Linked DNA regions of Callithrix jacchus. The protein of the gene in region 3 interacts with the protein of the main gene of each other region in a pairwise test. Links are inferred from orthologs where the notes say so. Each region holds a gene or a part of one and is shown on either strand. Other genes may lie near its edges.

The links.
Region 1: the proteins of RGS2 (region 3) and NIPSNAP1 interact in a two-hybrid assay, tested with the Homo sapiens proteins (2 studies listed by BioGRID and IntAct). The link is inferred for Callithrix jacchus from reciprocal best matches to the Homo sapiens genes RGS2 and NIPSNAP1.
Region 2: the proteins of RGS2 (region 3) and CTSB interact in a two-hybrid assay, tested with the Homo sapiens proteins (2 studies listed by BioGRID and IntAct). The link is inferred for Callithrix jacchus from reciprocal best matches to the Homo sapiens genes RGS2 and CTSB.

What each region holds. Positions count from the first base shown.
Region 1 is NC_133502.1:200,168,942-200,172,588, forward strand, and holds part of NIPSNAP1 (protein NipSnap homolog 1), read right to left. Parts: intron 3,458-3,647; exon of another isoform or gene 3,361-3,457; coding exon of another isoform or gene 2,911-3,360; exon of another isoform or gene 2,765-2,910; intron 417-2,764; coding exon 346-416; intron 201-345; coding exon 60-200; intron 1-59. Other genes in the region: large ribosomal subunit protein eL29-like, read left to right, coding at 2,911-3,360.
Region 2 is NC_133514.1:10,221,211-10,224,857, reverse strand, and holds part of CTSB (cathepsin B), read right to left. Parts: intron 2,319-3,647; coding exon 2,190-2,318; intron 1,895-2,189; coding exon 1,797-1,894; 3' UTR 1-1,796. UniProt on the Homo sapiens protein: Thiol protease which is believed to participate in intracellular degradation and turnover of proteins. Cleaves matrix extracellular phosphoglycoprotein MEPE. Involved in the solubilization of cross-linked TG/thyroglobulin in the thyroid follicle lumen.
Region 3 is NC_133519.1:49,997,560-50,001,306, reverse strand, and holds the start of RGS2 (regulator of G-protein signaling 2), read right to left. Parts: upstream 2,136-3,747; 5' UTR 2,106-2,135; coding exon 1,996-2,105; intron 1,049-1,995; coding exon 947-1,048; intron 845-946; coding exon 783-844; intron 213-782; coding exon 46-212; intron 1-45. UniProt on the Homo sapiens protein: Regulates G protein-coupled receptor signaling cascades. Inhibits signal transduction by increasing the GTPase activity of G protein alpha subunits, thereby driving them into their inactive GDP-bound form.

The sequences.
Region 1 (3,647 bases), on a different chromosome or scaffold from region 3:
AAAGCAGCACTGCAGCAGGGAAGTTGGGGGGTAGTAAGGGGTCCGTTGGAGGGAGGCACCTTGAGCTTATATGTCCTCAGCTCATAGATGTTGGGACCCACTCTGGGCTGTGGCTCATTCCAGAAGCTGAACTCGAGGAGCAACTGGTTTCTCCTGGACAGCAGCATCTGGCTCCGCTCCCTTCGGAACTCCAGGTACTCCTGCGGGCATGGTGGTAAAGGCACAGCTACTAGGAAGTGCCCTCCATCCTGACAGTGTGCCTCATGGGGTGGCAGAGGAGTCCCCAGCACAGGACTGGGCTGCCTCTAACATCCAGAGAGGTGTGCTGAGAGGACACTAACATACCTTATTGTTTTTGAGCTTGTTCATGCAGTCCATGAGGGCTGGGTAGCCACCTGAAAATCGCCACAGGTGCACTGTTGGGGGTGAGAGGTATAGGTCAGTGGGTTGCTGGGACCCCCAGCAGATGGCCTCCCCAAGGTTAGTTGAGTGTACATGTGGTGGGGGAGGCAGGTGACCCGGTTCCCTGTAGCAGCAAGACTCTCTGAGTTTCCTCTGCCGTGGTGGAGAACCATGCTGTGGAGGGGATGACCCCAGACACAGGTCTAGGAGAACTGGAGTTGAGCTCTAGCTCAGCCCAGTGGCTTTAAACTGCTCTAGGCCTCAATGTTCTCATCTTGAAAATGGGAATAATGCTCCTACCTACCCCACCTTCCTTAAATAGCAACAACAGGATCAGATGTGTCCTGTGCCCTGGGAACATGCATAAGGAAGACCACCAGGCCTCAAAGGGGCAGCTGGACAAAAGGACAGGGGAGATTTGATGGACTGATATGGAACATTCCAAGACAGTGCACTGAAAAAAAGAACCAAGGAACAGAAGAGTATATGTGATATGTTGAGGGGGCAAGGACACATCCAGAGATGCTGATTTACGCATCACCTCTTAATAGCGACTTTAAGAGACTGACAGTAGATGCCCCTGGGACATAGAATGGAGGCCTGTGGGTCCTCATGCAGGAGGGAAGCTTACTTTGCCTGGAAAACTCTTTGTACTGTTAGAATTTCTAAAAACCCTATTATTGGCTAGGCCTGTAAGCATTCTAGGAGGCCAAGGCAGGCAAATCACTTGAGGTTAGGAGTTTGAGACCAGCCTGGCCAACAGGGTGAAATCCCATCTCTATTAAAAATACAAAAATCAGCTGGGCGTGGTGACACACACCTGAAATCCCAGCTACTCAGGAGGCTGAGGCAGGAGCATCACTTGAACCTGTTAGATGGAGGTTGCAGTAAGTCAAGATTGTGCCACTGCACTCCAGCCTGGGTGGCAGAGTGAAACTCCGTCTCAAATTAATTAATTAATTAATTTATAATTAAATTAAATTAAATTTTTGAAAAATCAACTTTGGGAGGTCAAGGCGGGTGGATCACCTGAGGTCAGAAGTTCAAAACCAGCTTGATCAACATGGCTAAACCCCATCTCTACTAAAATTACAAAATTAGCCAGGCATGGTAGCGTATACCAGTAATCCCAGCTACTCAGGAGGCTGAGGCAGGAGAATTGCTTGAACCCGGGAGATGGAGATTGCAGTGAGGTGAGATTACATCATTGCACTTTAGCCTTGGCAACAAGACCTAACTCAGTTTCAAAAAATATTAAAAGGCTGGGCGCAGTGGCTCACACCTGTAATCCAGCACTTCGGGTGGCCGAGGTGGGCTGATTACCTGAGGTCTGGAGTTTGAGGCCAACCTGACCAATATGGCAAAACCCTGTCTCTGCTAAAAATACAAAAATTGGCCAGGTGTGGTGGCGCGTGTCTGTAATCCCAGCTACTCAGGAGGCTGAGGCAAGAGAATCACCTGAACCTAGGATGCAGAGCTTGCAGTAAACTGCGATATTGCCACTGCGCTCCAGCCTGGGGGACTCCATCTCAAACAAACAAAAAACCTCAAGATCAGCCAAGCACAGTGGCTCAGGTCTGCAATCCCAACACTCTAGGAGGCCAAAGCAGGAGGAACACTTGAGCCCAGGAGTTTGAGACCAGCCTGGGCAACATACCAAGACCTCATCTCTACAAAGCAAAACAAAACAATTGGCTCAGGCATGGTGGTGCATGCCTGTGGTCCCAGCTACTGGAGAAGCGGCGGTAAGAGGATCTCCTGAGCCCAGGAGTTCGAGGTTGCAGTGAGCTATGATCATACCACTGCACTCCAAACTGGATGACAGAACAAGACCCTGTCCCAAATAGAAAAATTAAAAAAAAATAAGCCAGGAGTGGTGGTTCACGCCTATAACCCCAGCACTTTGGGAGGCTGAGGTGGGCAGATTACCTGAGGTCAGGAGTTCGAGACCATCCTGACCAACATGGTGAAACCCCATCTCTACTAAAAATACAAAATTAGCCAGGCATGGTGGCACACACCCAAAATCCCAGCTACCTGGTAGGCTGGCTGAGGCAGGAGAAGCACTTGAACTCAGGATACAGAGGTTGCTGAGATCACACCACTACACGCCAGCCTGGGTGACAGAGTGAGACCCTGTTTCACAAGAAAAAGGAAAAAAAAAAAAAAAAAGGCCAGGTGCAGTGGCTCATGCCTGTAATCTCAGCACTTTGGGAGGCCAAGGCAGGCAGATCACTGAGGTCAGGAGTTCAAGACCAGCCTTTCCAACATGGTGAAACCCTGTATCTATTAAAAAATATAAAAATTAGCTGGGCATGGTGGTGGGAATCCGTAATCCCAGCTACTCATGAGGCTGAGGCCGGAAGATCACTTGAACCCAGGAGGGAGAGGTTGTGGTGAGCCAAGATTGCACTACTGCACTCCAGCCTGGGCAACAAGAGCAAAACTCTGACACAAAAATAATAAAAGACGGCTAGGTGCTTCGGGAACCATGGCTTAGGTGCAGACATGGCCAAGTCCAAGAACCACACCACACACAACCAGTCTCGAAAATGGCATAGAAATGGCATCAAGAAACCCCGATCACAAAGATACGAATCTCTTAAGGGGGTGGACCCCAAGTTCCTGAGGAACATGCACTTTGCCAAAAAGCACAACAAGAAGGGCCTAAAGAAGACACAGGCCAACAATGCCAAGGCGATGAGTGCACGTGCCGAGGCCATCAAGGCCCTTGTAAAGCCCAAGGAGGTTAAGCCCAAGATGCCAAAGGGTGTCAGCCACAAGCTCCATCGACTTGCCTGCATTGCCCACCCTAAGCTTGGGAAGGGGCTCAGGCTCTGCCGGCCAAAGGTCAAGGCCAAGGCCAAGGATCAAACCAAGGCCCAGGCTGCAGCTCCAGCTTCAGTTCCAGCTCAGGCTCCCAAAGGTGCCCAGGCCCCTACAAAGGCTTCAGAGTAGACATCTCTGTCTGCCAACGTGAGGACAGAAGGACTGGTGGGACCCCCCAGGACTGCCATCTGCATGGGGCTGGGGTCCTCCTATGCTATTTGTACAAATAAACCTGAGGCAGGAAAAATATAATAATAATAAAAGACGGGTGATCCAGTTTAAGCAGGCAAGGAAGAAATCATGCTTAAGGCAGAAGAAAGAGCATGAGCAGTAGTCTGGAACTAAAGAATGAAACTGTCAATCTGAGGAATTGAGTCCTGGGCAGCACAGCACTGAGCAAGGAGGATGTGGTGCCG
Region 2 (3,647 bases), on a different chromosome or scaffold from region 3:
GCTCTGGTAACCCTTGTTAAGCATCTCTCAAGTGCCGTGATGGGCCTCACAACTGTTCCCTGCAATGTTTCTCAGAGTTTCAGAGCTTATTTGATTGAGCTTCTGATTCCTAACTTCTGGGTCACATCAGAAGCAAAACTTGAATGCTTTTGGAAAGAGCTAGCCCCATCCAGCCTCAGTAGGGAAGGGTGATACTGAGGTGTATCTTGACAGGACAGTAGAGTGACCGCTGGTTCTTCGAGATTCCTCTACTCTTGCAAGAACTGGTGTAAAACGATTCTAAACCAGGCCTATGCAGAGCACGAGACTTCTTGACCAGCAATGCAAACCAGTGGCATACAGATTCAAAATACTGTGTACAGGCTGACTCGGCCCCTCTGGAAGGCATCTGGGGGATGTGGCCCTCCACGGGATGGCATCTTGGTTATGTGAGATCACCAAGATACCAGGCCTGTTTCATGAGAATTCTCAGGTCACTGCTGGATTTGTGGCTAATAAAAAATAGAGGCCAGGCACGGTGGCTCACCCTGTAATCCCAGCACTTTGGGAAGCTGAGATGGGTGGACCAGCTTGAGGCCAGGAGTTTGAAATTGGCCTGGCCAACATGGTCAAACCTTGTATATACTTAAAAATATAAAAATTAGTTTGGCATGGTGGTGGGTACCTGTAATCCCAGCTACTCGGGAGTTTGAAGCAGGAGAATAGCTAGAACCTAGGCGGTGCAGGTTTCAGTTAGCTGAATTTGCACCACTGCACTCCATCGCCGATGACAAAGTGAGATTCTGTCTCAAAAAAAAAAAAAAAACCACCACCACAGCTCTGTAGTTAGTTCTTAAGGGCAAGCTCATCAAGGACTTACACAGATGGTTGATGGGGATGCAGTGGGAAGTTAAGCTGAGGTCCCAAGAATCCTGAGGGCATGCAGTCCCTGGGTGTGATTCTCTGCAGGGCTGAGGATGGCAGTGACAAATGACCTCTGAGATGCCATCAGAGCCGACTTTGAGTTGAAGGACAAACCTTTTATTGGCACAGGCATTCCTTAACTTGACAGCGTGAAGCAGGAATTTTTGAAAAACAGTAAAAGCTGGTTTCTCCTACACTAGTTTCATGGTGGTAGTAGAGATCAGGGTCGGAAGCAAGTCACAGCCACTAGGTTTCGTTCTGAGCCATGCTGTTAGGAGGCAATCTGTAAACTAGCACGGCCTCCCACTGTTGCACTCCTTTATCCGCGTGACCAGCAGTGTGCACGAAAAAGAAAACTATTAAAAAAGAATCATGCTGAGGCCAAGATCAGAGTTTCTGACACTGCAAACCTCGACAGATGCAGGGGCCCTGGGAGAATGTGGCTTCTCCACAGGGCTCCAAACACCATCTGTCCTCTGATCTTGGAGCAAATGTAGAAAGCTACTTGCTTAGAGGTACTGCTGAGGGGGGAACTTGAATCCTGATAGGAACTCTGCTTTCTATTCCTGAGCCTCCGTCTTGCTCCTGGAGATGGATGGATCAGGGATGGGGCAGCAGGCACTCCCTACAGCACTAGTCATGGGGAAAGGAGCTCCGTGCTGGCAGCAGTGGCTCACGTGGCTTAACTGTCTACACTGCAGCCATCAGTCCACTGAGCAGGCTCGGAGGTAGCCGGGAGTCTCCTTGGAAAACAGCTCTGATGGTTGATATGAGGTTTGGCCAGTCCAGTTCTTTAGGCCCTGTATCTTACAGGGACGCAAAGATTAAGACATTTCTACCCCCATCCCTGACTCTGTGCAGGGAAAACTACCCCAGGACAGGACCACAGCAGATTAGATATTTCTCCAGTACTGATCGGTGCGTGGAATTCCAGCCACCACTTCTGATTCGATTCCACAGTGATCCTGTCCTCTGAGGATTTTAAAGAAGCCTGGGAATAAAAAAAGGTGCTTTTAAAATGTGACAAGGGTCGGTATATTCAGACTCATCCCTAAAAAAGCTGGGAGTAAGTCTCTAACCCCCGACAGCTCCTGCTGTTTGCTCAGTAGCGCGGCCCTCACACCATGGGGCACACCTCCGCCCGCATCACCCTTCCCATCCTGGCCTCTGGCATTTAGAAGGAGCTCACAGCCTGGCCTAGGTCCACAGTTTGAGGCTGTGCAGCAGGTAGAACAGAGAAAGCCAAGATGGCCACTGCGTGTGGCTCCCAGTTCCCCACCACTCACCGTTGTCACCCCAGTCAGTGTTCCAGGAGTTGCCAACCAGCCAGTAGGGCGTGCCATTCTCCACGCCCCAGCCCAGGATGCGGATGGCGTGGCCGCCCATCATCTCGCCAGTGACATGCTGGTATACTCCTGAGTTGGGAAGAACCGGTCAGAAGTGAGACCCGGCCACTGCCCCGTGCCCCACAGCACCCCTCCGGGCAGGAGAAACTAAGGGCTTGTCAAAAGGGTTACATGGCTTAAAGAGTTTTAAGGCCGGGTGCAGAGGGTCATGCCTGTAATCCCAGCACTTTGGGAGGCTGAGGCGGGTGGATCAGGAGTTCTAGACCAGCCTGACCAACATGGTGAAACGCTGTCTCTACTAAAAATCAAAAATTAGCTGGGCATGGTGGTGCCCACCTGTAGTCCCAGCTACTCAAGAGGCAGAGGTTGCAATGAGCTGAGATCATACCACTGCACCCCAGCCTGGGCGCTAAGTTTTAAAATAGCTGCTCTGGGTACACCCTGGAGAGGTGACAGAGGAGAAAAGGGAGGGCTGGTGGTGGCCAATATTAGATGGGAAAGAGGCCAGCTAAGATGCTCAGCGCTGCCCAACCAGGTTCGCCCCAGCAGGGAAATCACTGTCAAATAGAAACGCATTTTTTAACAATATGGGCGAGGACTGTGCTAAGAACCACCATCTTTAGTCATTTTTTTCTTGCCAGAATCATTTTCCTTTGTCAAACTGTTTTATAAGAGCTGAGAGCTCTGGAGTTTCCAATCTAGCAAAATATTAATGAGACTCAGCAAAGACTGCTTCTGCAGCAAGATATTTGTTTGAGATGGAGTCCTGCTCTGTTGCCCAGGCTGGGGTGCAGTGGCCTGATTTCAGTTCACTGTAACCTCCGCCTCCTGGGTTCAAGCAATTCCCCAGCCTTAGCCACCTGAGTAGTGACTAGCTGGGACTACAGGTGCACACCACCATGCCTAGCTCATTTTTTGTATTTTAGTAGAGATGGGGTTTCACCATGTTGGCCGGGATGGTCTTGATCTCACGACCTCATGATCTGCCCATCTCAGCCACCCAAAGTGTGGGGTTACAGGCACGACCCACCGTGCCCAGCCTACTGGAGGAGAGATTTCTAAGACAGTACTTGGGGGTAAAGACTATCCAGTTTCCTTCGTTCGAGTCCCTATGGCACTGCCCAGGGCAAGGTCCTCCCTGTGTGTTCATGCACGAGGGTGACACATGATCTACACCTTTGCAAAGACACAGATGAATAAAGTGTGTCACCCAGTGCAGACAAGGAAGACCTGCCCTTATAAGGAGAACATGCTGGGAAAGAATGGAACGCCATGACGGCAAGGGCAGGTGTGGCCAGCCGCCAGCGAGGGGACACCTCCACAGAGAAGACATGTGAGCTGGCTCCTAAGGGATGGGAAAGAACTAGCCAAGATGCCTCCAGAATTCTCTGTGCACAA
Region 3 (3,747 bases):
TAAAAATGTCCTGACTGTGCTGAAATTAGGAACTTTTTGTCTTACCTCTTTTGGAGCTTCCTTTTCTATAAAGTCAGTATATATTTTCCTTGCTTTTGAGGACAACTTTTGGGGTGATTTGGTTTTTTTGAAGTCTTCACAGGCCAGCCAGAATTCAATATTTTCTTCACAGAATTCAGACTTTAAAAAGGCCCTGAATGCAGCAAGACCATCTGAAGAGGGGAGAAAAGAAAGCATGCAGAATGTTAAGAACTGAGTGACCGAATGATTCCTTATGTTCCCCCTAGTACTTCTACCTCAAATTTTAATTATTTCTAAATGACAGTAATTTTCTAGATTTTGCTCAAACCTGCAATTCTCAAAATTTAGCTTTTTAATGACTAAGATGCAGTAGGTAAAATGCTTATGTTGGCACTCTGCTGCAAAAATATAAGTACTTAACTTTGCTGTCAATGCAAAATAAATATTTATAGGGGAGCCATAAGTTCTCTGGGAACTAAGCCTCTTGAAAACATTGTATGCAATGGAAAAACTGACTTGAACTTAACTATAAGCAACTGCCACTTTAATTTTTTTTGGCTATTTTTCTTCCCCACTTGGAGGGAATACATGCATTTATTTCCATTTTAAACCCTGGGAAATAAAGGAGAGAAAAATAGGCTTTATCCTATAGTGACTGCACAATCTAATTCCCTCAGGCAAGCTGCTCTTTTGCAGCATGAACACAGCCTTTCCAGGCTTTTGTGATAATAGCAATGGCTCAAGTTCAAGAATTAACTTACATTTGCTGGCCAGCAGCTCATCAAATGCTTCTGACCACAGCTGTGCTTCCTCAGGAGATGGCCTGAAAGACAAGTTTTGCATGTTAGCTTACGCACATCAGAGTTCCCCTTTTCAGTTCAGCAACTAACTATTCATACTTGCAACTACGGGATTCTCAACTTACTTGGTGAAAGCTTGCTGTTTGCTTTTTTTGCCGGTTTTGGGCTTCCCAGGAGTAGAGGAATTTTGCAAGAAGTAGCTTAAACGGGTCTTCCAATCTTTTAAACTAAAACAACAGAAAAAAATTTTTTAAAAAACATAATCACTAAGTACCAACACTTCAATATGCTTCTGCAGCTGAACGCATTTTTACCAAATAAAGGCACCCAGTAACTAGAGACAAACCGCATAAGGTAAAGCAAGAACTCTTCAAATAACAGTCTTACCACCCACTTAACATTTAAACTCATGTACTGAACAGTTTCATCCATTAATCTGATCGTATCTACTACTTTTACAGCTAAGGGCAGGGCTACCTAGAATCACTAGGAGTATTTTAAAGAATTGTTAATGAATTTAGTTCAAAAGGCAGATACTATTTCAAAAGGATACCAGTTTGTTTGCAAGGTTAACTACAATTCCGAGACGTTTCGCAGTTAATGAAAAGGGCAGACGTGGAACTGTCTGGAGCCAGCCCATGCTTCTGTCTTTAGAGCAGGAGGTTCCTGACCGTGCCAGAGTGTGTACAAAGAGGTGGGTGGGCGACTGATTCCCCTGCACTCTCCCTTCCCCACCTGCAACCCTTCATTTAAGCAGACGCTGCACAATTATTTGTTCCACATTCGTGACTGGGTGAGATCTGCTCTATAATTAAAAAACAAAAATGGATTTTAAACGAGTATATTCAGAACCGGCAAGAGCATCTCCTTCCAGCAGCTGTGTAAAGCGGACCAGCCGCAGGATTCTGATGTCATTTTCAATGCGGGAGGACAAACAGCCAACCCACAATTTCTTAGCGCATCCACCACCGCCCTCCTATCAACTACGTCCCTCGGCTCCTACACTACCCGAGCGTCACCCAGATTTAACGTTACTTAACAAATTGAGCTTTTCGACTTTTTTTTTTTTCCCTGCAGAGGGTCAGGCTAGCTTCCTAAGATCAAAGCCGAGCCGGAAAGCACCGCGTTTGCAGCTCGCGGTGGGTGGCGCGAGAGGGAAGAAAGCCATACTCACAGGGTCCGCTTCATCTTTTCCCGCTTCTCCTCGCTCTTGTGGCCGCTGCCTGGGCTCTTGTCCATGGGTCTGCAGTCGTGTTGAACAGCCAAGAACATAGCACTTTGCATCCTCGTCCTCCCGCTGCTCCGCGGCTGTGTGAGGCCGGCGGGCGCCGCAGTATTTAATAAGAGGCTGCGGCTTGGGGGCGGGGCCTCGCCGCTCCGGCCCCGCCTCAAGAGGACGCGGATTGGCCGGCGGCAGACGCGCGCGGGGATGGGGTCAGCGCCCGCCGGCCGCAGTCACGGCCTCTGCCGAAGGGTCTCGAAGCCAGGGAGCTGCTGACGAGTGCGGCCCCGGCTTCTTGCGCACTCGGGTCACACCGCAGGGCCGGCTGGGGCCGGTGTGGGAGCGAACAGAGACTTTCCAGTGTGGAGAGGTTGCCCCCGACCTTTTGCCGAGGTGTGGCGGCCGGCGGGCTGCGGGCTTTGCGGCGGAGGGGAGCGGAAGTTGGCTGCGGCGCGGCGGGGGGCGCTCCCTCAGCCTCCCTGACCGGCTCCCCGGCCTCGCGCTTCCCTGGCGGGAGCAGGTCGCCCGCCGCGAGGCCGGAGTGCGCTCGCCTGGTTTTGAATGCAGAGTGGGATTTTCTCGTTTTTGTGAGCGCGCCGTCCTGCTGCAGGGACTCGCTCGACACGCCCCGGTCTGTGAACCGAGGCTGCGAGGAGACGCTCGCCCGCTTCTCCCCGCCATTAATTTGAGGAACGGGGTGTCCTGAAACGTGGGCTGCCCAGGGGCGGGCGGTGCGGCCTCCTCTGCAGCTTTCGGGGCGTCTCGAACACTTTGGGGATGAACGTCAGTCGGGGATTGAACGAGGGAAAACGACTGTCTCAGAAGACGGCGCGTTGGGTTTGCGTTTGCTGTCAGTGCTGGGCACGGGCTGGGTCTGCCTGCCCGGTCCGTCCTCGGGAGCCCTCGGGCGCATCTGCAGGCGAAATAGAATCCCAGACTTCCTAGGGTGGGAGAGGAGGCTGGAGACGCGGTTCTCAGCCTAACGCCCCAGGGCCAGCGAGGTCAAGGACTCACATTTCCTCACCAGTCATTCTGGGTTGAGTTGGGATTCACCAGAACTTTTAATAACTGGCAAAAAAGGAGTTAACAGTTTCCCTGAGTAAGTTTGATTCTTCAGGTGTCATCTTTAGTCCTGGAGTGTTTACAGCGACTCGATTGGTAAAGACAAGACAGATAACCTCGACCACAAAAATGAGTTGATTTCGGATAATATTGCCAGAACTAGCCAGTGACATGTTTAAGCGGCTTTGCCACCAAGCTGTAGATATTCTATTTGTATAGACTTGTTTAAAACGAAACTGGGGGCTGCGTGTAGTCACGCCTGTGATCCCAGCACTTTGGGAGGCCAGGCGGGCAAATCGTGAGGTCAAGAGGTCGGGACCATCCTGGCCAACATGGTGAAATCCTCGTCTCTACTAAAAATACAAAAATTAGCCGGGCGTGGTGCCACTTGCCTGTAATCCCAGGTACTCGGGAGGCTGAGGCAGGAGAATCACTTGAACCTAGGAGGAGGAAGTGGCAGTGAGCTGAGACCGTGCCACTGCACTCCAGCCTGGGAAGCAGAGCGAGACTCTATTTCCAAAAAAATAATAATAATAAAAAGAAAGAAAATCTGAAATAGTGAATATATTCTTAAGGTGAGCTGCCAGTAGTTGGAGCTCCAAGTTTGACTTGGAGGGCAAAAATCTGCAGTTACGTACGACA